Linked DNA regions of Caenorhabditis elegans. Changing the gene in region 3 together with the main gene of any one other region gives a genetic interaction. Each region holds a gene or a part of one and is shown on either strand. Other genes may lie near its edges. The genes, in order: hmp-2, lin-3, bar-1 and cdk-12.

Region 1 (6,233 bases), on a different chromosome or scaffold from region 3:
ACGGAAAAGTACCTGAAAATTTGAGAAACAGAGTTTAAAACTAAATATGTGTAAGAAAAATCAAGAAAAACCAAAGAATTTAGCCAGAAAACGCGAGAATATAAACAAATTACGTCACTTATTTTCGCGGGAATTCAATTTTTGAAAAATTGAAAAATCATAAAAAATTTAGAACATTTTTTCAGTTATAATCGGTTATTTGGGTATATTTTCTGTCATTTTAAGCAAAAAATTTGTTTTGACTCTACTCCACCTTTAATTTTTAATTTCAAAAATCATTTTTTCCAATAAATCCTCCGTACAAACCTAGATTTCCTCACAATTGCCATTTTTCCACTATTCTCATCGATGGCAATGTGTCGAGCCGTCCGGCTTATCATTCCGCATCGGATTTTCTGCTTTTCAAGGCAGATACTCATCTGGAAATTTTTCGTTTAAATTGTCTGAAATTTTTTTTTTGAAAAAATATAGGAAAAAGGAACCGAAGAACCAAAAAAAAGATACGTATAACATTAGATAGTAGGAAGTATAAAATTACATTTATAATATAAATATATTGAAAGTATCAAAAATTAAATTTAAAACCATGAATAATAATTCCCAGTGGATATATTCAGCAGATTATGTGTAAAAAATGCAAAAATACGAGAAGATAAATTAATTACAAATCGGTATCGTACCAATTGTGATTAGGGCGCATTTGTGAGTTGTTCAACGCCATATTAATGGATTCCGAGTGTCCGCCGTCGTTTGTCGGATACATTTCAGCGAAAAGCTCTCGTTCCAGCCCATCACGTTGCCAATCCGCAGCACTTCCACTCATCTCGTAGTCGTACGACTGAAAATTCGGAATTAATTCATGAATGGCTCGCTCGAAAATCGGAAATTTATGTTGAAATTTTTTTTTCTATTTTTCGAAAAAAAGCTGAAAATTTGAACTATTTTCCTTGTTTTTAGAACAAAATTATATGGTTTTTCTCATCAACATTTGTCCATATGGACAATATTTCATTAAAACATTGAATTTTTAAAAAACTTTGAGGCCCCACGGATTCAAGATCCGGTGGGATTCTAGATCTACCATTTCCGGATCACCGTGCCAACACATAGAACACATTTTTTCAACGATCCGGAATCCCACAATATCTTAAATCCGTGGTGGCTCAAAAGTTTTCTTTCGATTTTTCGGTTTTTTTACGGAAAATTTATTTTTTTTCCTAATTCCTCACATTAGACATATTCATGATGGCAGCTGAATCTCCTCTCTTCAAATTACTCAACACTCCATTCGCATAAGTGACGACTGATTTGTACTGTGAGCCACGAGATTCCATTAAAAGAGCACTAACTCCAGTACTCTCAACAGCACGGGCTCCGTCTGGCCGCTTGCTCAACTGATAGAGAAGCCCAAGAATCTCGCGTTCGAGAACTTCATCATCCATGGATCCGAGTCTCGGATGAGCCAGAAGACGATGGAGAAGATCCAAGAATGGTGGACATTCTGGATTTCCGACTTGTCCAATATCATCACAGCATGCTGCAGCGACTGCCGGATGATTCGCGAGCTGATGAAGAGCCGAGACAGCTCCTTCGATGACTCCCCACATTGGAACTCCATCTACAGCAATATCAGGATTCTCCTCAATCGCCGTGATAGCTCTTCTCAAGATATCCATTGTCAGTGACACAGCTGTATGCCCATTTGCAGTTTGTTCTTGTGTCAACTCGATAAGATTTGTTTGAAGAAGTGCACTATTTCTAATAACTCCGAGAGCTGCCTTGATAACTGGAGTACGAAGAGTTTCCAGCTGATCCAAAATCACTGGGAATGCTTGACAGAATCTCAGCTCACTTTGAGCTTCTTCAGCCAGTGAGTGCCTGGCAGTACAGTGCCGAAGAGCACAGAGAGCCGGTTCGGTGACTTCTTCAACTTCAGGTAGTCGGCGGATCGCGGTGACGAGAGCATCGATTCCCCCGTGAGAACACACGGTTTGCTTGTTTCTAGTGTTATTGCAGGTGAGATTGCTCAATGTTCCACACGCGCAGGCAGTCATTCCATCGTTGGCGACACGAATGATTTCGAGAAGCTTGATGATCAGTTGAGTGAGATTTTCCTCGTTTGTCGCAGAATCCGACAGATTTCTCATCGCCACTAGAATCGCCGTCTGGGATCGCTCGTCTTTTGCGGTGCAGAGCTCCACGTAGAGAGCAGGAAGGCAGCCTAGAAAAAATTAATATTGAAAAGTTTAAATTTCTGAACTTTTTTATTGGAAAATTCTCAAAAAACGCGCAATTTCAAAGTAATTTCCTGCTGAAAGAGGGTAAAATTGGAGGTTTCAGCGAAACTTTGAACCACCGGAACAAAAATTTTGAAATTTGTTGGAATTTCGTGAAAGATAAAGGAAAATGTTTAAAAATTGCTTCAAAACACTCGAAATAGCTGCGAATTTCAAGTATTTTCAGCTAAAAATCTCAAATTTCCAGCTTTTCAGTGGATAAAAACCTGAAAATATCTCTAAAAATGCGATATAAAATAGTTTTTAATCAAAACATCCATGTACCAAGACTGATCAACGCCGGTTTGTTGCTCGGACAAACGGACAGGGATCGAATGCAACGGACGACGGTATAGATGAGCTTCCGATGATCCGAGTACTCGCGAAGAATCGAAACCAAGATCTGTGGTCCCAACAGTGATAGGAATGTGATCTTCGATGGAGCATCGTCTGCAAAATTGACCGATTTTTGAAATTTTAGAGTGGAAAATTTGAATTTATAGCTTTAAAAAATGCAAATTTGTACAAAATTCTTGATTTTTCCAGTGAATCCTTACCGATCAACAGGAAATACAACCCATCCGCCACTTGAGCCAGCAGCTTCGGATTCGTCTTATGAAGGTGCGGAGTTAGCGCCTCAACGGCGTTGAGAGCTCTCGCTTGAGCTCTGGAATCAGAAACATGCATCAGAAGGTTCCGAAGTGTTGTCACAGCATAGTGAACAACTGATTCCAGTGAATCATAGAGCATTCGAATGATTTCAGCAAGCCCTCCGCTTCTGAAGATCAGAAGAGGTCCTCCACGTTGCTCAGACATGTGAGACAATGCTCCAATCGCATTCCGACGGACATTCACGTTGGAACTCTTCGACGCAGCCATCAGAGCTTCCACAAAAGATCGATGATCGAATCCCGGCGCATTGAAGAAGTTCGGATCTTCCCTTGAGAGCATATAAGCTCGATGAACAGCTCTAGCAACCACTGACTCATCATGATCGCACATAAGCTTCACTAGATCCGGAAGCGAGAGTCCTGACATATCGTTTGATCCTTCGTAGGTTAGAAGATCCATAACTGATTGCTTCAGCTGTTGAGTTGGCATTTGCATCATTTCGACGATGCTTGTAGTTGAATTTGTGGCTTCTGCAGCAGAAGTTGGTGGAATCCAGTCGGGGAACATCGCTGAGCGGATTCTAGAGGTTCGAGTTTCGACTTCATGGTCTGGAAATTAATTTAAATGAAGAAATTTCGAAAAAATTGTATTTTTTTGTGTTTTACCAGTGAATATCGAATAAGAGTTGGTAGAGTGAAGAAGCATGGTTGTTGGGAGTTCACAGCTACTGAAAATTATACTTTTTAAAGGAAATGGTGAGTTTTAGACGAGAAAATGCAAAGAAATTCGATATTTTAGGTGCTGAAACTATCAAATTTCATGTGGGAGCAGAGAAAAGTCATTTTAAACAGGAAAAATCCACAAAAACTAAGATTTTTTTAAAATTAAATTTAAATTTAATAAATTTATTTCGAGTGGAAAAGTGCGAAAAATCGAAATTTAGAGTAGAAAATTTAAAAAAAAATAGGATTTCTAGTTGAAAATTGAGGAATAATCGCATTTTTCGAATCAGATACTAGCTAAAAAGGAATTTTTACTTTTATGGCTATTTTGAAAAACATTCCACTATTTTGATACTGCAATCGTCAAAATACGAGGTTTCAGGTAGAAAATCGAGAAAAATCGCATTTTTTGAATCGGAAACTAGCTGAAAACGCAAAATAAAGATTATCACTTGGAATTTGTGCTTCTGTGGCGATTTTAAAGGAAAATTATTCTATTTTTGGTGTTGCAACTGTCAAAATACGTGGTTTCAGGTAGAAAATTTAGAAAAATGGGTTTTTTCGAATCGGAAACTAGATGAAAACGCAAAAACAAGATTTTCACTAGGACTTTGGATTTTTAAGGATATTTTATACCGATAAATTCCTCTATTTTTGGTACCGCAACCGTCCAAATATGAGAATAATCGCATTTTTCGAATCTGAAACTGCCGAATAGATAATTAGAGCTGGTTAAAACAGCTTAAAAACACATAAAAATCAAGAATACGAGGATTTAAAAACCAGTGTGAAACGATTTATATGCCTGTGCGGTGATAATACCAGAAAGAGATCTCAAAAAAAACGAGAAACAGGAGAAAAAAGAAAATATTGAGATAACAAAGAAGAAACCGTAGTACTTTAATACATTTTTTTTCGAGATTTTCCGAGATAATCCGAGAATTCCTTCCATCACCAGAGGGAAGTTTTGACGAATGAAGTGATCGAACTGAACCATCCGCCCTCTTGACCACTTCCATGGGCAGCCATCTCATTAGTTATCACACAACTTGCCGGATCCACGTGAAGCACATCATCATCCAAATATTCGGGGTAATCTTTCGAGTTTTCCGTGATTTTGCCCATCTCTGACGCGTAAAACTCGAATTTCTCGTCGATTCCGTTCACTTTCACTAACTGCGCGACGTACTCGAATCCGGCGGCGGCGAAAACGGACTGCGCAATGTCCTTGGCTTCGATTGTCGGGATTGTGCGGAGCACGGCGCGTGGAATTGAGTTCTGCTCGGTTATATATACACTGATTACTCCTTTTTTCTTCAGAAGGCCTCTCTCAACTGACAGCTTCTTCGTTTCATCGAATTCCTCCGCATCGAATTCCATAATAATCTGCTTTGACTTTCTTCCAACGAATTTTCGGTGAAGAGTTCCGCCCTTGTCGAGCTCTTTGATCGCATCGGCTAGAGGCTCTTTCTCGGCTCTTTTGGCATCCAGCGAATTCTTCACTACTCGAATCCTACTCGAGACAAGGACCAAGTTATAGTTGACACTGGGATTTGTGATATTTTCGCAGGCTTCCGACAATGCTGGAAGTAAATCTGCGGATTTCAGCAGTTGCTCGATGTTCCCCGACTGCTCTGTGAGCAAAACGAGGATTTTAACCGTGTATCTGATGACATCGGAGCTTTCGTCCTTGAGGAGCGTTGGGAGAGTGTGGAAAAATGTTTTGTCCTGGAAGAAATTTAATTTTCATGTGAATCCTGAGTGAGCTAACGACTTACCTTAAGCACGACTGCTCGATTCTCCGGCTTTTGGCACAGCTTGTAGTACGCGCGAATCGTTTTTATTTTGTCGGCATTTACGACTTCAGTCATTCTGAAATAAAAACCTTGATTTTTAACGAAAATTTCGATTTTGAACGACAAACTTTAACGCAAACAACCAGAATAGCGATGAAATACTCAATTCTAAATGTGAAAAACAAAAAGTGGATAAAAATCGATAAATTGAGGGGAAAAGAGAAAATGGAAACAAAAGAAAATGTGGGCGGAGTCACACGATGAGGCATACCGCAAGTGGTGCGCACACATTTTGCAAAGGGCTCGCACACAGTTTTCCTTCTCAATAATTATTACTCGCCATTTGGGACGCGAAGTCTATGCCAAAAAAAATTTAACGCATCATGCACATTTTGAGGGAAAAAAATAAATTACGAAAATAGTATTATGTAAAATATGAAAAAAAAAAAGAAAACAAATTCCACCCTAAAATTTTCGCCATTTTCAATTTTTTGAAGCTGCAGCCTGAAAACTAAAAGATACCGAGTGGGAAAGTGGAAACATTGCCGTTTTTGAATATGAAACAAACATTTCAGCGAAGATACATTACAAACCCTTTTAAAACAACATAGGAAAACCAATAATCACAGAAACATCAATCAAAAATGCGAAAAAAATATGAAAAATCGGTATTTGGCTGAAAAAAAAAATTTTCAATCGAAAACTTGCTAAGCCAATGAAACTGAATACAATGTTGGGATTAAATAATATAAGGAGAGATAACGAGATATATATATATATATATATATAATTTACGAAATAGGTATTGTAACAGTAAAAAAAAAGGA
Region 2 (7,793 bases), on a different chromosome or scaffold from region 3:
GACCTACGTCACCCTCGACATCAAGGTTCACGGAGAGAAGGAAAAATGCCAGTAAAAAGTGCAAACTTCCTGGATTTTATTGACTATCTAAATATATATTTTTTCTATATGATTTTTCTCAATTTTCCATTAATAAAAACATGAAATAAATGTTTAGTTTTTTCAACGAGGACCTGAAGAGACTAGGGATCAAAGGAAATTACAAAAACGATGCAAATATTGTACCCGTTGGAAATCGAGGAGTTGAACTGGCAAAATTATACAAATTGTCACAGGAACTGAGAGGGAGAGTGAGAGAACTATAGAACATTTGGGTGGGATATAATAGGGTGCCAAATGCAATCTATAAAACATGTAGAACGATATGAAAATAGAGGAAAAAAGAGAAAGCGAAAAAATTTGAAGAGACCAGAGATGTTTGAGCAGTGGTAAATCACAATTATAGCACAGAGAAGTTGATGAAAAAAGAAAAAGATAAGACAAAATAAGGAAACAAATTATAATTTCATGTGTGTCGAATCATTGGTTCACATGTTGCTGGTGATCCTTGTTCTCCAGAACTTCGAGACGGGGATCGAAAATTCTGAAACTTTCAAATGAGTAATCATTTTATTATTCAGAGGTTAGATTTTGCGATTTTTGCACAAATAATACGATACCAGGTTGAACTGCGTCTTTTAAGATTACTGTAATCATTTTCCAAAAAATAAACAAATGGATGTAACCCGAAAAATGTATTGTATTATAATCAATGAAAATTTCGTAGCAACGAGGGGTTGCAAAAGACAGTAATCTTTAAAGGCGCAATTCCGCTTGCAGTTAAAGGCGGAGTACAGTCATTTTTAAAAATGTGATCTAAATGAAAAAGGACCGTAATAAACAGATATAACTGCTAAAAAAGTAATGAAAAAACATTTGAGGGATAATTATTTTTGAATTTGCGACTAACCTGGATTCGACATTTTCACTTTTATGAATAAATTCGTTGGTTTTTCTCAATTTTTTTTTTCAATATTTGATTTGAATTACTGTTTCTCAATTTTTCAGACAATTCTCCGCGCAAAAAATATTAATTTAAGTTAAATTATCGATATTTTTGCCAAACTAGTAATTTCAACGAATTTCTTTCGGGGGTTATTTCAAGTTTACGGGAAATTGTCTGAAAAATTGACAAACGGTGTTTACATCAAATATTGAAAAATTAGAAAATATTTTCCAGAAATCATTCCATCATTTGCGCGGTAATTCAAAAATAATTAGCCTTTTTTTAGTTTTTGCAAAATCCAAAAAATCATTAAAGATTTAAAAAACTTTCGTAAAGTTTTTTAACAGTTATATCTGTTCATTGAGGTCTATTTTTATCATTTGAAGTGCATTCAAAACGACACAACTCCACATTCAACAAAAATTTGTCGTGGAAAAAATCGCATTTGAGTAATATCACCTCGATTCTTAGTTTTTAAAAACAATAATTACCGTATCTGCAGAATCCAACTCGATATTAATTACAGTGTGCGCCGGTGGTGGACATGTTACTGATGCTTTTGAAACTTCTGATTCAGTCTGAAATGTGCGATTAATTTATTTTCAAAAAATCCATGAAAATCGAAAAACTGACCGACTGATATGATACTGTTGAAAAATCAATGTGGCCAGAGTAATTAATTGCTGAAACTTCAACACGTGGCACTGACTTGTAGTGCTTCGGCGTGTCGTCGTCATTGATACTCCTGAAAGTTCATTTTATTTTGAAAATGAATTTTCAGAATTTTGATACCTGGATGGAATGGTACCTTGACTTCTGAGAATGCTGAAAAAGTTGTTCCGTGCTTGTTCATTATTTCGAATAGCTTGTTGACGAGTGGGTATTCTTGATCCAGGAGTTGATGATATATTTGGAGGTACTGTACCCGGTGTTGGGATAGTATAAGAACATGATGGAATTTGATGAACTGGAATATGTCGTCCATTTGGTGTTTTGAGGACATTGAATGCTTCTGGTGGGCACATATGACTCATTGTATATGTCATATCATCCGATCGTTTAGACATTCTGAAACATTTATATAGTTGTTTTTGAACAATTTACATTAAAATGTTCGAAAATCTTTAAAAAAAGATGCTTAGAAAATTAACAACAATTTCAAAATATTATTAAGCTGTGTGTTGATTAGAAAACAATTTTCCTAACATAATTTTCTTCTGAAGAGAGGAGAAAAGAATAAACTGGCCAAAATTCAAATATATTTTTCGAAACATTGCATTTTTGTATGCAAATTTTTTTCGATTTTTTTAAACTTGAAAATCGAAATTTTTCGTTTTCCAATTTTTCGTTCTTCAGATATTTCAATATTTCAAAAAAAAATCAATTTATCGGTCATTTTTCTCCTTTTAGAAAAATGCTATTTTCTAAGGTTTTTTCTCATCAAAATGAACAAAATTTCATAATATCCTGAAATTTTTTCTGAGAAAAAAAACCGAAAATTTACCAAGACTTCAAATTTTTGATGAAAAGTATACCTTCTATAAGCATAAACAACAATTGTTATAAACATGATGAGCATGACAATGAGAAATGCGAACGCAGGAATAGCTGATGTTGAAGATTGCTGAAAAAAAGTATGAGCAAATGCAGCATTTTAAAATTTAATTTTTTTCATATTTCGAATATTCTAGATTGACGAATAATGTGGACATCAAGCCCATTATATAATTTATATTCTCACCACAATTCTCTCATAAAGCCCACTGAAAATAGAAGAAATTTCAGAATCTTGACTGGAAGGCGTTGTAGAAATCGTTTGATTTGGATGATGAACCATAAAAATTAATGGTTTTTTCGTTTTTCCCTAGAAATAATTTACAAAAATGATATGTTTCTCATAGAAAACCATCACCGCAAACAAACCAAAAAATAATTAGATGAGAACATGCTACATGCAACTTAATTAGGGTTTCACAATAAGGGTATTTTTGTTAATTTTTTTTGTTTAGATGAGAGATTATAATTACTTGAACGAGGAGTTGCGCCGTGCTGCTCATCGTGCTCAAACGTACATTATATCTGCCGTTGATTGGGGCATAGAACGCCTGAACGTAGTGACGATCACAACGAGTGCCTTCCCAACCCTGTGGACAACTGCAAAAAGGATTACTGTACTTGCTCATAATTGTTTCCAGACTTACTGGCAAGAAGGAACAACTGCTGAAACTCTATCTTCACGGAATATCACTTCCACGTGGCATGTCGCGTTGTGATGACAGTAGTCTGAAAATTATTTTTTTTCAAGATTTTAGACTGAATTCATTAATCTATTAAAGAACTCCAATTGCATAAATCCATTTGCAAGGGTGTCGATTTTCGGAAAAAAACACCCGTTTTTAATTATTTCAACAAGCAAGAATCATGGAAAGATGTCGTCGAAAACTTTTTCTATTTTTTGAAAATCGAAATAATCGAAAAATTCATTCATTTGAAATCGAAAATCGTTTTTAAATTTAAATTTTTGAAAAAACTAAAAATCAAAAACTTTCAATTTTTTGTTGGTTTTTTTTTTTGAAAATTCAAAATGTTCGGTAATTTTCCTATTTTATAAAATACATTTTCGCATAAAAATTGACATGTTTTTAAGAAACCTAGTTTTCTCGTTTTTTTAAACATACATTATTTCCAACTTTTTTCAGTTTTTCAATTTTTTAGATTTTCAAAAACTGTTTGTTGAAATAACTAAAAAAAGGGTTGGTTTTTCCCGAAAACCGAGAAATCTGAAAAATGGAACGAAAACTCAAAAGGTTTTTCAGACCTAATCAAATGGCTACCTTTGCATTTTGCTTCTTTCAACTTCTCGATTTCCTTCCGAACCGCCGGTTTAAGAGTCGACGTGGCATCTTGAGTGGCATCTTCATTATATTTTAACGCTTCTTCTACTTCTTCATCAACCTTTTCATCTTCATATTCACCCTCATATTCTGCTTCTTTCTCGACTGAAAAAAACAAATTTCTGAGATTTTCTCTATACATTTAAGTATTACTTAATTCTTTTGCAACCTCTTCAGTTCGTTTTTCATCGTCTCCAGCTTCGGAAATCGTAGTTTCAGTAGGTGTTTCAGGTGTCGAAGTCGACGACGGTGCATCACCTATTTCGTTTGTTTCTAGAGAATTTCGAGAAGTATCGGGTGGTACAGAGCCACTATTTTCAGCTGCATTCTCTGCAGATTGAAGCTGTTCGGGAGCACTACGTTCTTGACGAAACCACGAAGGGAGACACGATTCTGAAACTTTTATTGATATTTGAATGGAAAATAATAATCTTTGTTTTGATATTATAGACATACCAAATGCGACTAGAAGTCGTTCAGGAATCGATTTACCGAACATTTAAATTTTTCGTATTCAAGAAAATATGTATAATTTTCTTAATATTACTTTTCCAAAAATGCCTGAGACATTGGTAAGAACACCTGTGTGTACAGTTTTCAGGGTCACAAGAAAAAACCAGCATAAAATACACAGGTGCATTGAATAGGGAGAGACGGGAAGTTCTAGAATTTTGAAAGTACAGAAGCTCAAGGATCCACGGAAAGAAACTTGAAGAATAAAAAAAGTACGATTTTATTTCTTTGTTTCTAGACTACTGTAGATTGGTTGTTAGTCTTTTTTTGAATTTGTATTGTGATTATTGTTCTCGACATCTACATTTTTTTGTCAATTTATCAAATTGCCTGATTTCTTTAAAAATCTACAATAATTAATGACAAACCATTCAAGGGACCATTTAAATTCGAATATGTAATAACTGGTATGTACATAGTTGGTGGTAAACTCGTAGATTGCTGCCAATATAGGTGAAATAAATACCGATGGTAGTATTGTCAAGGGTGTTTATGAGGGGGTGCATACAACATTTTGGCGGTGTTGGCGGGTACTTGAATATTTACGATCACCTACTGTGCATTGCTGTATGACCTCTTCAATTTGCAACCGGGTAAACGGAAATTATCACAAAATACGGCTATTCGCCAGACGCAAAATTTTGCAATTTTCGCCCCAAAAATACGGTCCGTGGTCTCGACACGACAATATTTATTTAATGTAAATAGATGAGCGCCTTTGAAGAGTACTGTAATTACAAAATTTCGTTGCTGCGGAAATTTAATCAATTTTTTAAAGTTTTTCTTACGATTTGTTAAAATTGGTGTGCTTTTATAGTTGTTTTTGAATAAACAGACAATTTTTTATCGGAAACCAGTTTTAAAAATTCGGCAAAAACGGGAGTTTGAAATTACAGTACTCTTTAAAGGCGCACATGCATTTAATAAAAACTTTTCGTGTCGAGACCCAGTACCGTATTTTTAGAGCAAAAATCGAGAAAATGCCTGAACAGGGCTGTAGATTTTTCGTGTATTTGGTGGAAAATTTATTTTTCGATTTTTTGGAAAAAAAATTAAGCGAAAAATGCTGATATACTGAAAAATTATAAATGTTTAAATTTTACAACTTTCCAAAGAATCACACTGGAAATTGTGAACATAAATAGTGCGATTTCGGTCAAAATATCGTTTCAAACTAAATTTTTCATTTTCGTTTTCGAAAAAAAATTCCCTGCTCCTGAACCAATCTTTTCTCATAGTCGTTTGTGGCGATTTTTATTCCATATGACAATGTTTAGTGCACTAGACAAAAAATGTGTAGAACACGAACACACATGTGGTTGTAGTGTCAAATATCATTCGATCCGTTCAATATGTTTTAAGAGGTGTGACGTTCAATTCCAAGTAGAACATCATTTTTTTTAAATGAAAAATTACCTGTAAATTGAGGCATAAAGAGTAGAAGGATGCAAAAAAGTAGCATTTTCCGCATTTTGGAAACTTGTGGGCGACGATATCTGAAATAATTTTTTTTTTTGGATAATTGTTGAGAAATTTAATTGAAATACCTTATGAAACAGGAAAAATTGATGCATAAGGGGTGGGAAGAACACCGACAAGCCGACGATCCGTTATTCTGAAAATTAAAATTTAAAAAAATTGGGAATTTTTTAAATTTTTAAAGAGAAACATAAGGAAATATTGTGCAAAGAATGCGAAATTTTTTTACGGTACCCGGTCTCGAACCGGCCGATTTTCTTGAATTCCAAAGAGCGTGTACCTTTAAGGAGTACTGTAGTTACCAACTCCTTATTGTTGAATTTCTTCAAAAAAAATTGATGGTTTTAATGAAAGAAACAGGTAAAAATTGTGAAAAATCTGATAAAAATATCCCAACAATACAGGGTTGGTAACTACAGTACTCCTTAAAGGTGCACGCTCTTTGGAATTCAAGAAAATTGATTCCGGCTACCGTAATTCTTTCTTTCAAAAAATATCCCAAAAATATATAAATTTATAAAACTCAGAGACTCTGATGGCCATGATGATTCACATGAACTTTCTGGCTACCGCACTAACTGTATTTCTTAACTGATATTAATATCACAGTTTTATACAAGGAATGTTAGCTGAGAGCAAAAAATAACAAAGAAACATCAGAGAAAACAGAGAAAATCGTACAGTCTAGTAGTAGATCAGCTAACTGTTAGAGAAAGATCGGGAGAAGTGGGAAGCTAACTGTTGATCGGAAGAGTAATTATTGCGAAACAAAAAAGTTATGAAAAGAAATCGAAAAGAGGTTAGCTTTGACCCTGGGAAAATCAGTGGCTTCTTGGTGGTACTTTTCAGTGGCATGAGTCAGTCAACGATGGGCGGTTCGAGAAGAGAGCAAATAGAGAAGATGCGCAGTGATCTATTTTGATGGTGAAAAAATAACTACAACATATTTTAAATTTAATCTTTTCTATTATTATGGGGATTCAGAAAGACAGTCATTTTAGAATCGACGTTGAAACGCTCCGCCCACAACCCATGGGTCTCGCTAGGTATTTGGTGGAAAATCCGTAAATTCAAGCGTTTTCAATTAGTTTTGCCAATTTTTGTTATTTTTTATGTTGTTTTTGATTATTTATAAGCCGAAATAATTTTTTGAAAATTCGTGTAATGTTGAAAAGTGAATAAGTTTTAAAAAAATTTGTTTATGAACTTTATTTCATTAATTTCCAAATGAAAATCAATACAAAGAAAGTAAAATAAATTTTTAAAAATTGACAAAATCGGTAAAAGTAATTTAAAAACTCTGAATTTACGGGTTTTCCGCTAAATACCTAACGAGACCCATGATTCGTGGGCGGTGCTAATTGGCCGTGGGGAACGATTCCACGTATATTTTAAAATTGGGAATTTTGTTTGTTCCTATAATATTTTCGGAATCTTCCAGGTTACTGTAACACTGAACAAACAAGAAAATGTCGAACATGGATCTGATGGAAGTATGGATACGGATGAGTTGAGATAAATTATAAAATATGTTAATCAATGTCCACTTTGCAAACAATTCCTCAATTTCGAGAGATAAATGTTCTTGTGTTAGCAACAATTTTCAGAATCTAGGGAATTCCAATATAAAAAAACAACTCGATGAGCAATCACTGTTTGCATTTTGCCTATTTATCAGGAATGAAAACGAGACTATTTGGGAAAACTGGAGGAAACATTAAAGTGTATCAGAAATACGGCGTATTCCTTTTTCACATGAAATCGGATCTTTTCAACTTTGACACTACTTCTGGTTCTTCCTATTCCAGTTTTCAGAAGATTCTAAGACTTTATGAGTCAGCCAGTCAGCAAGTTTGTAGAGAAGCGAGGAGACAAATAGAAACAGTAAGAGCACATTGGCTCAGAAATTGGAAACAATAGGA
Region 3 (7,027 bases):
AATTGCCCGTGCAATTATCAGAAAACCAACTGTTCTACTGTTAGATGAGGCAACATCGGCATTGGATAGCGCCAGCGAGAGAGAAGTTCAAAACGCTTTTGAACGAGTCAAGAGGAGTACGAAGACTCAATGCACGTGTATTCAAAGTAAGAATTAGTATATTGAAACTGAAAAGTAATATTTAATGCGGTTTAAACTCTCAGCCAGTACGTCACGAGAATTGGCAAATCTCTAACGGGAAAAATGTTTTTTTTCCAGTCGCTCATCGTTTATCAACAATTCGAAACGTCGACAAAATATACGTTATTGTTCATGGAGAAATTGCCGAGGAAGGTAGCCATGAGCAGCTTATCAACTTGAAGGGTATCTACTACGAAATGAATCAAATGACGTAAATGAATTTGTTTTGGCATGCAAAAACTACACTCTGAATCTGGAATTCATAATTTGTAAATAATAGTTGTTATTTTTATAAAAATTTTCTTATCTGACACACTTTCTGAAATTGAAATTCAATAAAAATTCACTTTATTCAACATATTTTGCATGCCAATTCATGAACCCGTATACAAATAATTAGAATCTCATTTTCAAGGAATGTGCAACAAATATCCGACTGGGGTGGTGGAAAGTGTGGGGGTCTATGTTATAATTAAAAAATTAAAATCGACTATTCCTAGAAGGATAATAATCAGACGAATGACTACTCGGACCAGGGTTTGATGGAAGGTCGTTGTAAACTGGTGGACTACGGTCATAGCTGTTATATTGAGGAGGCGTTGGTCGCGGATAACAAGATGCTGTGGCATGGGGATCCAAGTACGTCTCGGGAGGTCCAATTGAGTATTCTGGATACATTGCTGGTGGGGAATGGTACATTGGTGAGTTGTATGGTTCTGAAGAAATATTTGTTTTTGGTTCTAGGTTCATAGTTTCTTTAATAGTATATTGTCTCAATCCAATTCGAAGGTGGAGTAGCGTCAGTGAAAAGTTTAGTAAAATAATCTTAAGAAAAAAACAAAACAATCATACAGCCGAAATAAAATATTACGAAATATATGTATTCTTTCAAAAAGTTTTGGCACCCCCACTTATAGAGCAAATACGTTAATTAAAAACCTTCATTTCACATTTAAACAATTTTTACTTCCAAAAAATGGGTAACTATGTAAAATGAATAATTGTCAAATTTTGATTGTTATTTTAAAAAAGTTGAAAAATTACATCTATAACAATTTTCCTAAGTTTTTTTTTCGCTCTCACAATGGTAAGCAAAACTATGTATGTAGATAGAATCTTTGGAATCCTGCGTTTATCAAAGTTGGCAATATATAAAAACTTCGGGAAGTTTTCGGCAACGAACAATCGTGTTGCCGAAGCTTTGAAAATTATCGAACATATATCTTTGTTGAGCTTATATTTTAAACTGCTTTTCTAAAGACATCTTCAAAATTTTGACATCCGGCAAATGTCAAAATGGCCGAAAGTTATTTGTTAAATTTGATTAGCTTCCTAGAGCAAATTAAATTGTCATCTTATATCTTACTTGATGAATCTCGTCCGGAGCTGTTGCAATACGAATCCATCATAGTATCATCTGTTAAAGGTGTAGACCATTGCTCTCCAGCTCCCTCACACACTTCACCGCTACTATTTAGTGCTTCGCTTCGTGGGGTGGTCATGCTCATGTGACCAAATTGGCTCTGTAATACTGACTTTTTCTTAGAGTTATCCCCCATTTTGTGTTACCTCTAAATATGAATTGTATCTTGGAAGAGTATTCCTTGTCTTTTCTCGCTTCTCATACATCATCTTGAGAATATTATTTGCTAGACTTGCTGTAAATTTTCAGTTCTACTTGTCTATTGGTGTGCAACGTTACCTAATTCAGGGTGAGTTTGAGATTGCATTTGAACATTTTGAAGCATTTTAACAAGAACGTCATCTCTGTCAAGTACGTTTGCCATTTGCTCATGATGCATCAAATTATAAATCAAGGCCAGAGCCGATGATTTCGTGTTCTCTTCAACGTTGGCTTTTTGTAATACAAAAATTGGAAGAGTATGACCATCGCCCATTCGGCTATTTTCAGGAGTTTGCAGGAAGAAAACAACCTATAAATTGAAATTTGGGTTTTCAACCTGAAAACATTAATACCTCGTTGAGAATGTCCTGGTCTCTTGTAATCCATCGCAGGATTTGAATACAAAGATGAATGATATCTTTCACGCGGACACCTTCGATAGATTCTTGCTTGAAATCCAACAATTATTAGTCGGTTTGTTGACTTTTTACTTACCACATTCAGCTGGGTACATGCCACTCTCAAAATATGAATGAGTTGCTCAACAAAACCTTTATCTCCAATTCGGCATGATCGGAATGGAGCAAGAAGGGCATGTTGGGATACAACTTTCAGCAGGAGCTAAATTAAATCTCAATTTCTTATTAGCCCTTCAAATTAATGACTTACACTCAATGTGTGTTTCAGCAATACTGGTCTCATTGTTAACAATTTGTGTAGAAATAATGCAGGATCTCGGAAAACAAATGCTTGGACCTTATCTGACATTGGATGTCCAACACAGAGATGCCGTAGCGTGCAAATTAGGCTTTCCTGAAAACCGTATTGTTAAGCTTTGAAATTTAAATGTTATTACAATATAATCCTCCATTTGCTGTGCTTCTTTATCTCTCAAGTCACCCATCTCTTTGGTGGCAATTGTTAAAGCTCTCACAAGAATGACAACCCCATTGTTGCCACACATAAACTCCTGGAATTAAAATTAATACTATATCTTGATTTCTGACAAAAGCACCTTGTTATGCCTGTTGTTTGCAACTAGATTTGACATTATCTGAGCAGAATATAGACGGATTGTTGTATTTCGAGAATTGACCAGCTCCAGAAGAGATTTCAAAAGTAAATCTTCTTTTATTTTGCTTGGTACGTCACTTATATTTCGCAAAGTTTCAAGGGTTGATTGTACAAGTCGCGGACTACCATGTGAAAGAAGATTGGCGAGAATTTGGCGACCACCAAAAGCAACAAGATTTGGAGCGTCCTGGAAAAGTTCAGACATTACATCCTTCAGTTTCAAATATTTCTTACAAAGTTCGAAAATGTTTTCAAAAGTTGCGTAGTTCGCCAAAGCAAATTTTCATAAACTCTGTGTTGTAGTAGCATGAGCAGTTTTTGAGGTCCTCCCATTTTCACAAACTTGATTTTCTGTTCGGTGTTCTTTTCACACAAAACTCTGATCAAGTCAACTATCACTGGAAGAAGTTTTTCTGATTTCTCCGCTTCTAACCACGGAGTCACATGCTGCAATTTTTTGTAAATTTTTTTTTTTCAATTTTTTTTCTTCTTTAATCTTACAGTAATCGCATCTTGTTGACGCGCAATGATCACACTTTGTCCGCCTCTCTGCTTATCGGACAGAATCGAATGCATAGTAAGAATGGCATATTTGTATATTGAACTTGGATAAGTACTGTAACAGCTATTTGAATGATTTTTTTCTGAAATTTAACTTTCTTACCCAATATGCCTAATAAGATTTGGAATTATATCAGGTTGTTCTGCGATCGCTCGAGTGACAAGATCAATTCCTTCCTGTCGGTTGCAAATGTGGAAGAATGTTCCCAAAGTGCAACGAATGATGTTCTGAAAATATATGATGTATTAAACTGTGCAAGTGCACAAGCTATACCGGGAATTCAACTTTGTCACGGAGAAGATCACGCAGTGTAAATATAACACGGGGGTCCACAATTCGAGCTTCATTTTGCCGTCGCATTGGGTCACACTCCATCTTCGCAATATTTTGCATCAGAATTACAGCTTTGTGCACAACCTCCTGTAAGATTTTTGTTTGAATAATGTTTTTTTCAGCAGAACAATCAATTTTTTTAAATTTTTTCCAGATACTTCAATTTTGATAATCGATTTTAAATGTTACAAACAATCAAAAGTTCAAACACCGGCTTCATCAGTAAGCAGCATTAGAACCAATTTATCTTTGTGTTAATATCAGTACTGAAATCAAAAGTTCATAGTTTAATTTCAGATTTTGTGATTTGAAAATTTAAGTGAATAAATTCGACTAAATATTTTTCTTACTGTAGATTTGATAATTTATTTTGAGTAATTGAAAGTTAAAAATCAATTAACATCATATTATACCTAAATGAAATAATAGTAGTCCAGTAATAGTAGTAATAGTAATAGTAATAGTAATAATAGTAATAGTAGACATACGTTTCTAATTTTTTAAAGTTTTTTTTTCAAAAATTTCAGTCACAGTTCTGATAAGTTGCTAAGTTTTCCAAAAATTTGTAACATTTCGAGCATTGTTGCATGTTGGAATACAAGATGTTTGAATATAATTAAAATATAAAAAATAGGTCAAAACCGAGGATTTTTTTAATTCATATATTGTGAAATTATGAGTATGAATATTTCAAAAAAGTTTTGAACAAAAAAATCTTACATTATCCTGATCTTTCATAAGCATAGTGAGTTCTGGAATTGCTCGAACTGTGTTATACTGCCCATCCGCTTGATTTTGCGTGATCCCATCAAACTTTTGTTTTTGCTGGAAGAAAAATAACAATTTTGTCCACCAGCGCATTTTGATATGAAATGGTCTTACTTGATCTGAAAGAGTGGGGATCGGCTCATAGTCGGCCATGGATGACATTCCGGAAAGATGCGATGACGGATGTAGAGATGATATAATAGATGGAGCCTGAAATTGAAACACATTAATCTTTGTTGTGTGTGTGTGTCTATCTCTCCTCTGTTTTCTCGTACCTCACTGTGATTCATTGTTTGGAAACCGCTATCAAAGTTGTGATTCCGCCACATATCCACCTTGCGGTGGCCGGTGCAGGGCGTTGAGCCCATGTGTATATCCGAATAGCTCGAGGTGTGTTGCTCCCTGTAAAAAATATTTTAAAACAGTTTTAAAATTTTTTTTTTGATAACTCCCAACATCAAAATAAATTGTTTCTTTTCCTCAAATTTGCAGGCTCGTTCAATCAAAAAAACTTACATTGTAAAAGATGCCTCTGATAAATTTGTGTCGTCATGGTTAATAACTAGGTTCGGATCCAGGTCCATCCCAGTTTTCTGAAAAAAAAAGCCAAATATTTTTTTATGAATCAATTCGAACAAGAAAAACGATTTGTCTGCCGGATGAAGAGAAAAAATAGGAAAAAGCAGTGAAAAAACTGAATGAACAAAATGTTTGAAAACATTACAAATCTTCCTGCTGGGCACAAGAAAGAGTGTGTGGTGATGGGGCGGTGAAATAGTGAGATAGAGAGTCTAAGGCTTGTGTAATGAAGAAAAAGCAATAATAGAAATGAGCGGTTTGTACCTAACCTAGAGTAAAGGGCTATTGATATCAGATGGCTTCTATTTCACCCCCAATCATTCCCATCCCCTTGCCCGTCCCGCTCGCATTATTCAACCCATTTTCTTTCGTGCTTTCAATCACCTATCAGTGAGTGAGCAGCCAAAGGTGTGAAATTGGCTAATAAAATTTAGAGGTATGTTTCAATAATAATGATTATCTGTGGTGAAACGAGAAGGCACACAGTCATCAGTTGTGGGTTTGAAATGAACAAACGGGAAAGACGGGGGAAACAACTTTGATAAGGATGTATTTGGGAGGAGAACTGGGAAGGCTGGGAGAGAAAATAGAAATGGGATAGCTTAGTCGTAAATTATCAGTTGGGATAATTAGTCGACTCTTATTTATCAAGTCCTTCATTTTTATTCTTCTTTATTTTCTTATTCATTTATATCATATCAGCATAACGACCCAGATTTGCTGTTTTTCAAAAGGTTTCTAGTGGAAAATCAAACAAGCCATCATTTGGTTTCCGTTAGACAGAATCGTTATCAGGATTATTCATTTTAGACAAAAGTTTGGTCAATAGGAAAGTGTTAATCATGGCAAATTAGAATAACCAAGAGTACAACCTTAAAAATAATTTTTAAAAATTGTGTTAACTTTCAAATTGCAGGATAAAATTGCAAACTGTGAATGATAAAAAAAAGTTAATTTTCTTTCAGGCTAAGTTTCTGGCATTCAAATTATTTAAGCAAAACTTTGATTGTTATTTATTATAATTTTATTGGAGTTCACTACTATAAATTATGTTTTTTTTATTGTTTCATGCAATGGATCAATTGCTAATTTTCATGATACACTTTTGAAAAGGTTTTTTTTTATTTCCGCTGAAGAAAAGCATCATCATTAATATGACTTTTTATCCTGTTTTCCAATACTATGAACTTTGATTTTTTGAAGGACACGTTAATGACTCATTTAGTGGGTATGAGTTGCCTATTGTTTGTACATTTAAACACTTTCACAGACAAATTGCATTTACTTGTTATGTACACAATGTCATAAAGACTACAACTTAAAAATTATATTAATGAATTAACTATCTTTCATACTATTCTGAAAAAGTTTTTGCTCAATTTATTTTTTAAGTTGTAAAAACTTATAATATATTATTATTTTACAACCGGAAAAAAGTGAAATTACGTCGAGAAAAAGCAATAAAAGAAGAATAGTTTGTTTAAGAAATGGAGAAAAGTGTTGCAACGGGTGCTCCATGTCGGGGGTTTACTGATAACAGTGTTCTCCTTATGAGCAATCTTTCATAAAGACATCATTTAACATTTCAAAATCTTACAGGAAATTGGAATATTTAAAAAATCAGTGCTTCCGTCTTGTGCTAAAAAAAAACATTTTTAACCTCAAAAGTTATTTTAACTTGCAATGTGTGTTATTTATGACTATTGCAAAAAGGATCTCATAAAAAAATAACTTTTTTTAACTGAAATTTTTCAATCCTTCACCAATTTTTCAATACAGGCGTCAATATTCCAAAGTTGGGTTTCTAAAAAGATGATAAGTAAAGATTGCGAGAAATGAAAATTTTAACACATGATAATGATACATATTATCAATTTTGAAGAAAAGAATAAGACGCAGTGGAATGT
Region 4 (4,725 bases), on a different chromosome or scaffold from region 3:
AATATTGAGAGAATTCGAGAGACGTAGTGAATTCGGAGGATTTTTAGGAATTGAGATGATGAGGAGGAAAAGTTGATGGAAAAGAATATGTTTGAAGTAGGCAAGAGAGAGGTAATTTGGAAAATAAGTAGTCTCGAAAATGTTGGAAAGGTTTTTTGAAAAGTTGAATATCCAAAACTTCCAGACAATTTGAGGAAGCGTACTAGCAGCATCAGATCGCCTATCTCAAACAGTATAACGGCCATTCGATGATGTATGTACCCTAAGAATGATTGTATCCTCTGAACAAAAAATCGCTCGGTGTACCCTATGTCGATGTACCCTTGGATCATGGGCCGTTAGAAATATTACCCAGTTTCGGAATTGTCAATATTTTCATCCAGAATAACGGTACCCGGTCTCGAAACGATCAAAACTTCGTAGCTACCGTACCCGTTAGCTACAACTTGAAACAAAAAACGAGTTTCAATATGGATCTTGATATTACCGAAATGCAAAAATTTACGTTTTTTGCGCCAAAAATACGGCGTCGGCAAGACTTTTCGCCGATTTTTGATGATTTTTCTGCTGATTTGTTACAATTAGTGTATTTAATTTTTTTTTTCAATAAATACATATATTTTTAACTAAAAAACTATTAAACAATCGATGAAAGTCCCGCAGCAACAAGTTTCGAACTACAGTATTCTTTGAAGAAGCATACGCATTATCATTGCGTTTGACAAAAATGTGTCGTGTCGAGATCGAGTACCGTATTTTCGGGACGAAAATCACATTATTTCGCTACTGGGTAATACAAATTTAAAATTTTTGTTCAAAAAAGAGAAAAAAATTGCAAAATACTTTTAGGGACGGTAGCATTGAAGTTTCGATCGTTTTGAGACCTGGTAGTATTTAGTTTTCCGCCAAAAAATTCACATTTAGCTAATAAGATATGTTCTTAAAATGATCATTTTTGATTAATACATGCTTTACCAAAGTTTAAAAAAATCCAACGTGACCCGGCGCAATTGCTCAAAGAGCCATTCTTGATTTGACTGCAGGTTAATTTCAGGCCAGCTTTAATCCGAATAATAATCAGCTGAAAGCTCCCGTGATCCAACTCTTTCTGCGATCCATTCTGTATACAAAGTTGGGACACCTGAAACATCTCATTCCGAGGTTCTAAAAAAGTATTTTTCAAATTTGTATTATTACACTAACTTTCAATATTCCTTCTTCGAGCAGTTTTGCACGATAAAGCTACAATAAATTGACTATTCTCGAGCTCTTAATCGATAATTTAAATTTTTCTATGAGATTGCAGTTATTTAATTGTTCAGAGCAAATTCCAGCATCAGTTTTACTAGTTTTTCTCCTGAAAATGAAGAAAATCTAGAAAAACTCGACATAAGCGCCACCCACTGAAGGAAAGAGTGTGCAAATGTGAGAGAGACGAGAGAAAGAAAATGCAAGCGCCGCACGGTTTTCGTAGGCGGGGCCAATCAATTTCGATGCCATCCGACTTTTTTCTCTTTTTTCCTTTCTTTTTTAATATTTTATTGATATTTTAAGAATAAAAACTTAAAAAAATCTAAATATCCTGCGAAATAACAAATTTAGTTCAAAATCCCATAATATTTTCTCATTAAATTCATTAGCCAACGTGAGAAAAATGCACTTGTGTTTATTGATTGAAACTGTTTTCCTGTAATCGCATGATTTCAGTTGGTTTCATACGAAAGTTCAGACCAAATTCGACGCATATTGCTGCCGGATAGAAGAATAGCGTTGTAAGTTCATGATTATTTATTTTTGAAAAGGATTTAACAAATTGTTAGCCTGTCAAATTCGAATTTTTGCAGATTCAATGAGTTTCGACTCGTCGACTGACGGCTCGAATTTGGCAAACAGTGATCGATCGAATAGTAGTTGTTATCCTTCCAAACAAGACGGTCAGTCTTCGAAACAACCAAGAAATCCAATTGAACTCCAGTTTTCTTCCTTCGCTTCCAGTTTCATGTTCTAACATTATATTTCAATATTTTGTCGTCGTTGTGTCGTTTATTTTTTTTTGTTTTCTCATATTTAATCTCAAATCTTTAATATTCTTATCATTTTCAGCCATGGAAATATCGCCAGGTTCTTCGACACACGAGAGAGATCGAAAAGGTTCCTATGGACATCGGGAACGAACTCGCAGTCACAGTGGATCGCCTTCCAGATTTTATTCAAAAGACAAAAGAGGAAGTTCGAGACAAGGTGTGAGACCGAGAGATCGAGACTCGAAAGATTCAATTTCTCCACAGTACAAGCAAAGGTACTTTTTCCAGATATTAATTGAAAATTGGATTCTTCAATTAAAAATGCTGTAGCAGAGTTAAAGTTATTATCGGAAAATTGCGTCATTCGCATGATTTTTTGGCTGTATAGTCTCAAAATATGCTCAAATGAACTAATTTCGTAATAAGACATCTCAACATTTTTATGGCGGTTCAAAATTTCGAAAAAATGACGAGATTTTAGCTAAAATCTCCAACTTCGCCAACTTTTTCGTGACGCAACTGTCGGAAAACTTTTATCGATTTATCATTCCTTATTGCATATTTTGGTGATTTATCTTCCGTTTTTCATTGATTAAAGTAAATTTAAAGTTGAAAGGTAACCAATTCCGGCGATTTTTGGTTACCTACGGGCTTTAAATGTTGCCTAATCAACAAAATAATATGAGATAAACTACCGAAAAATGAAAGCTAATATCCGACCGCTGCGACTGGGAAAAGTGGTCAAAATTGGAGATTTTAGCTAAAATTTTAACTTTTTCCAAAAAAGTTGTAAAAGGTGAGCTAGTTTCAGGAATTGGTCCCGAGGCGGTGGCGGTGGTGGTCGCGACCGTGGACGAAACGATTTCAGCTATCGAAAGAAAGGCAAAGACTACAACAAACGACGAGATAAACGAAGCCGTAGTCGAAGCAGGCATCGATCACCGAAACGAAGTGGATCTTCGAAGAAAAGCAAAAGGAGAAATTCGTCCGGATCGTCGTCATCTGATCTGTAAGTTTGGATTAAAATCGATAATTTGTAGAGCAAGCGATGGAATCATAAAAAGATAAACTTGCCTGCTAATATCCCAATAGTTTTCTCGCAAATATTCGAATAATAGTCGCCAGGATTGCCATACATTGTCTGACTCAGAGAGGAAGGCGGGGCGCTGAACTGATGGTGTTTTCGCTGTGCTGGGGTGTGACTCCTCCCTTTTCTGACTTGTGCCAAATCACATACTCTGATCACTGGATCATTTCTACTACAAAGCTCGAAATGTTCTGACTGTGTGTGGTGCGGTTTTGTATTTGAAGTTTTAATCCAACCAGTCGGAATCCTGAGGAGCTTCCAGATAGAACATAGTTTATGAATCGCTGCACACCTTGTTCTAGTTGATAAAATTCTTTAGCATTTTCAATTGAAAAGCGCTACTTGATTACATTTTACGAATCCGTTCAACTTCATCCCAATCTAAAAAGACGTCACGTGTTCAATACACGAGCTTCTCTGGTGGCAAACTGTCAGTAACTAGCACTACTTTTCATAAGATCTACGTTGAGATATATTCCAATTAATTTTACTATAGCAGCTTTAAGCTAACTGAAATATCTGACCATTTGCACAAACCTACCGTATTCTGACCATTTTCTTTCCCATAACATTTCACTTTTTTAAAAGGGGAAAGTGTGAGGCAGGTGTCCCTGAAGGTCACCAATTGCAACGGGTTTTCAATAAGCATCGGTTTTAAAATGGGCAAAAAATGGAGAATGAGGCTCACGCTATGGCTATTGATATTAATATCAATTCTGTGGCGACCAGGCTATTCTCTCCATTCCCCGACTACATTGTTTTCTCTCTACGTCCATTTTTATCATCTCGTTGATTCGTTTTTTGCAAGAACTGATAGCCATCTCGAACTGGATCAACAATTGAACTAGGTCATTAACAACAAATCTTCTATTATATTGTTCATCTTGCAACATTTGATAGTTTGGAATCAGAGGTTTATAGAATATTATAATTCTGAATGTTTCAATGTGTCCTCTCACAGACGGGTGATTCATTCTTGTTTTACAAGCTTCCAAACCGTATGATCAATTTTTCCGAATCCGCTGATTTAATCATTTAACGTTCGAAGACTAAATGAGAAACTCACCGATACCTGTGTGATAGAAAGCTTATTCAATACCAAAATCGGCAAGTCCATTCAACTGGTCGATTTACATTCCGCCCGTCAATTTGCACTCTCATCGTATGCCCATTCCTCATCCAATTGTCTATTTCCTCGTGTCCTTTTTCCACCACAAAAATATCCATAAAAAAGAAAAAAATGAAGAAGATGCCACAACCACCAAAACATTCGGTTCCTGTGCAATTGAGACGTAGAGAACACGACGAAACGACCCTTTCTTCACTTTTTCCCCCACTCCTTCTCCATCGTTGCGCACACCCTTTGAGTCTGTTTGGGTCCCCGTTTCTCTGCATTCCTATCTCTCTGTCACTTCCAACCAGCGCCATCGGTGAATGAAGCTTGACGGCGGCGCCGTCCCCTTCGTTTTCCATCAGACTGCGTCTCTCCGTCGCCTCGTAATATCTCGGCATCTGAAATTTCTACGTCTCTCTCACACTGTTAGCTTCACCGTTGTCCATTCTTCTTTCGATCTCTCCTGTCAACGGGTGCCCCCTCCGCGACACTCAAATTTC

The links.
Region 1: of bar-1 (region 3) and hmp-2, changing one enhances a phenotype caused by changing the other (phenotypic enhancement), as found in Caenorhabditis elegans (2 studies listed by BioGRID, with this or other methods).
Region 2: of bar-1 (region 3) and lin-3, changing one enhances a phenotype caused by changing the other (phenotypic enhancement), as found in Caenorhabditis elegans (2 studies listed by BioGRID, with this or other methods).
Region 4: of bar-1 (region 3) and cdk-12, changing one enhances a phenotype caused by changing the other (phenotypic enhancement), as found in Caenorhabditis elegans (2 studies listed by BioGRID, with this or other methods).

What each region holds. Positions count from the first base shown.
Region 1 is NC_003279.8:14,736,951-14,743,183, reverse strand, and holds hmp-2 (Armadillo/beta-catenin-like repeat protein), read right to left. Parts: upstream 4,303-6,233; coding exon 4,247-4,302; intron 3,616-4,246; coding exon 3,554-3,615; intron 3,497-3,553; coding exon 2,834-3,496; intron 2,727-2,833; coding exon 2,562-2,726; intron 2,222-2,561; coding exon 1,230-2,221; intron 839-1,229; coding exon 662-838; 3' UTR 528-661; downstream 1-527. Other genes in the region: K05C4.5 (WD_REPEATS_REGION domain-containing protein), read right to left, coding at 307-419; K05C4.7 (Armadillo repeat-containing protein 1), read right to left, coding at 4,562-5,338, 5,389-5,481. UniProt on the Caenorhabditis elegans protein: Required for cell migration during body enclosure and cell shape changes during body elongation. Plays a role in recruitment of the cadherin protein hmr-1 to adherens junctions.
Region 2 is NC_003282.8:11,055,884-11,063,676, reverse strand, and holds lin-3 (Protein lin-3), read right to left. Parts: upstream 5,864-7,793; coding exon 5,809-5,863; intron 4,379-5,808; coding exon of another isoform or gene 4,336-4,378; intron 4,279-4,335; coding exon of another isoform or gene 4,273-4,278; coding exon 4,033-4,272; intron 3,985-4,032; coding exon 3,820-3,984; intron 3,269-3,819; coding exon 3,187-3,268; intron 3,140-3,186; coding exon 3,013-3,139; intron 2,850-3,012; coding exon 2,727-2,849; intron 2,610-2,726; coding exon 2,521-2,609; intron 2,054-2,520; coding exon 1,778-2,053; intron 1,731-1,777; coding exon 1,619-1,730; intron 1,564-1,618; coding exon 1,477-1,563; intron 584-1,476; coding exon 506-583; downstream 1-505. Other genes in the region: ttr-16 (Transthyretin-like protein 16), read left to right, coding at 1-55.
Region 3 is NC_003284.9:7,165,492-7,172,518, forward strand, and holds bar-1 (Beta-catenin/armadillo-related protein 1), read right to left. Parts: upstream 5,135-7,027; 5' UTR 5,126-5,134; coding exon 5,058-5,125; intron 4,944-5,057; coding exon 4,817-4,943; intron 4,752-4,816; coding exon 4,656-4,751; intron 4,599-4,655; coding exon 4,494-4,598; intron 3,861-4,493; coding exon 3,714-3,860; intron 3,668-3,713; coding exon 3,543-3,667; intron 3,495-3,542; coding exon 3,380-3,494; intron 3,326-3,379; coding exon 3,113-3,325; intron 3,066-3,112; coding exon 2,820-3,065; intron 2,775-2,819; coding exon 2,661-2,774; intron 2,618-2,660; coding exon 2,474-2,617; intron 2,426-2,473; coding exon 2,300-2,425; intron 2,254-2,299; coding exon 2,158-2,253; intron 2,115-2,157; coding exon 1,883-2,114; intron 1,839-1,882; coding exon 1,750-1,838; intron 1,704-1,749; coding exon 1,547-1,703; intron 897-1,546; coding exon 661-896; 3' UTR 514-660; downstream 1-513. Other genes in the region: pgp-10 (P-GlycoProtein related), read left to right, coding at 1-146, 259-395.
Region 4 is NC_003281.10:4,331,291-4,336,015, forward strand, and holds the start of cdk-12 (Cyclin-dependent kinase 12), read left to right. Parts: upstream 1-1,701; 5' UTR 1,702-1,772; intron 1,773-1,844; 5' UTR 1,845-1,934; intron 1,935-2,103; 5' UTR 2,104-2,105; coding exon 2,106-2,299; intron 2,300-2,835; coding exon 2,836-3,033; intron 3,034-4,725. UniProt on the Caenorhabditis elegans protein: Cyclin-dependent kinase which displays CTD kinase activity: hyperphosphorylates 'Ser-2' in the C-terminal heptapeptide repeat domain (CTD) of the largest RNA polymerase II subunit, thereby acting as a key regulator of transcription elongation.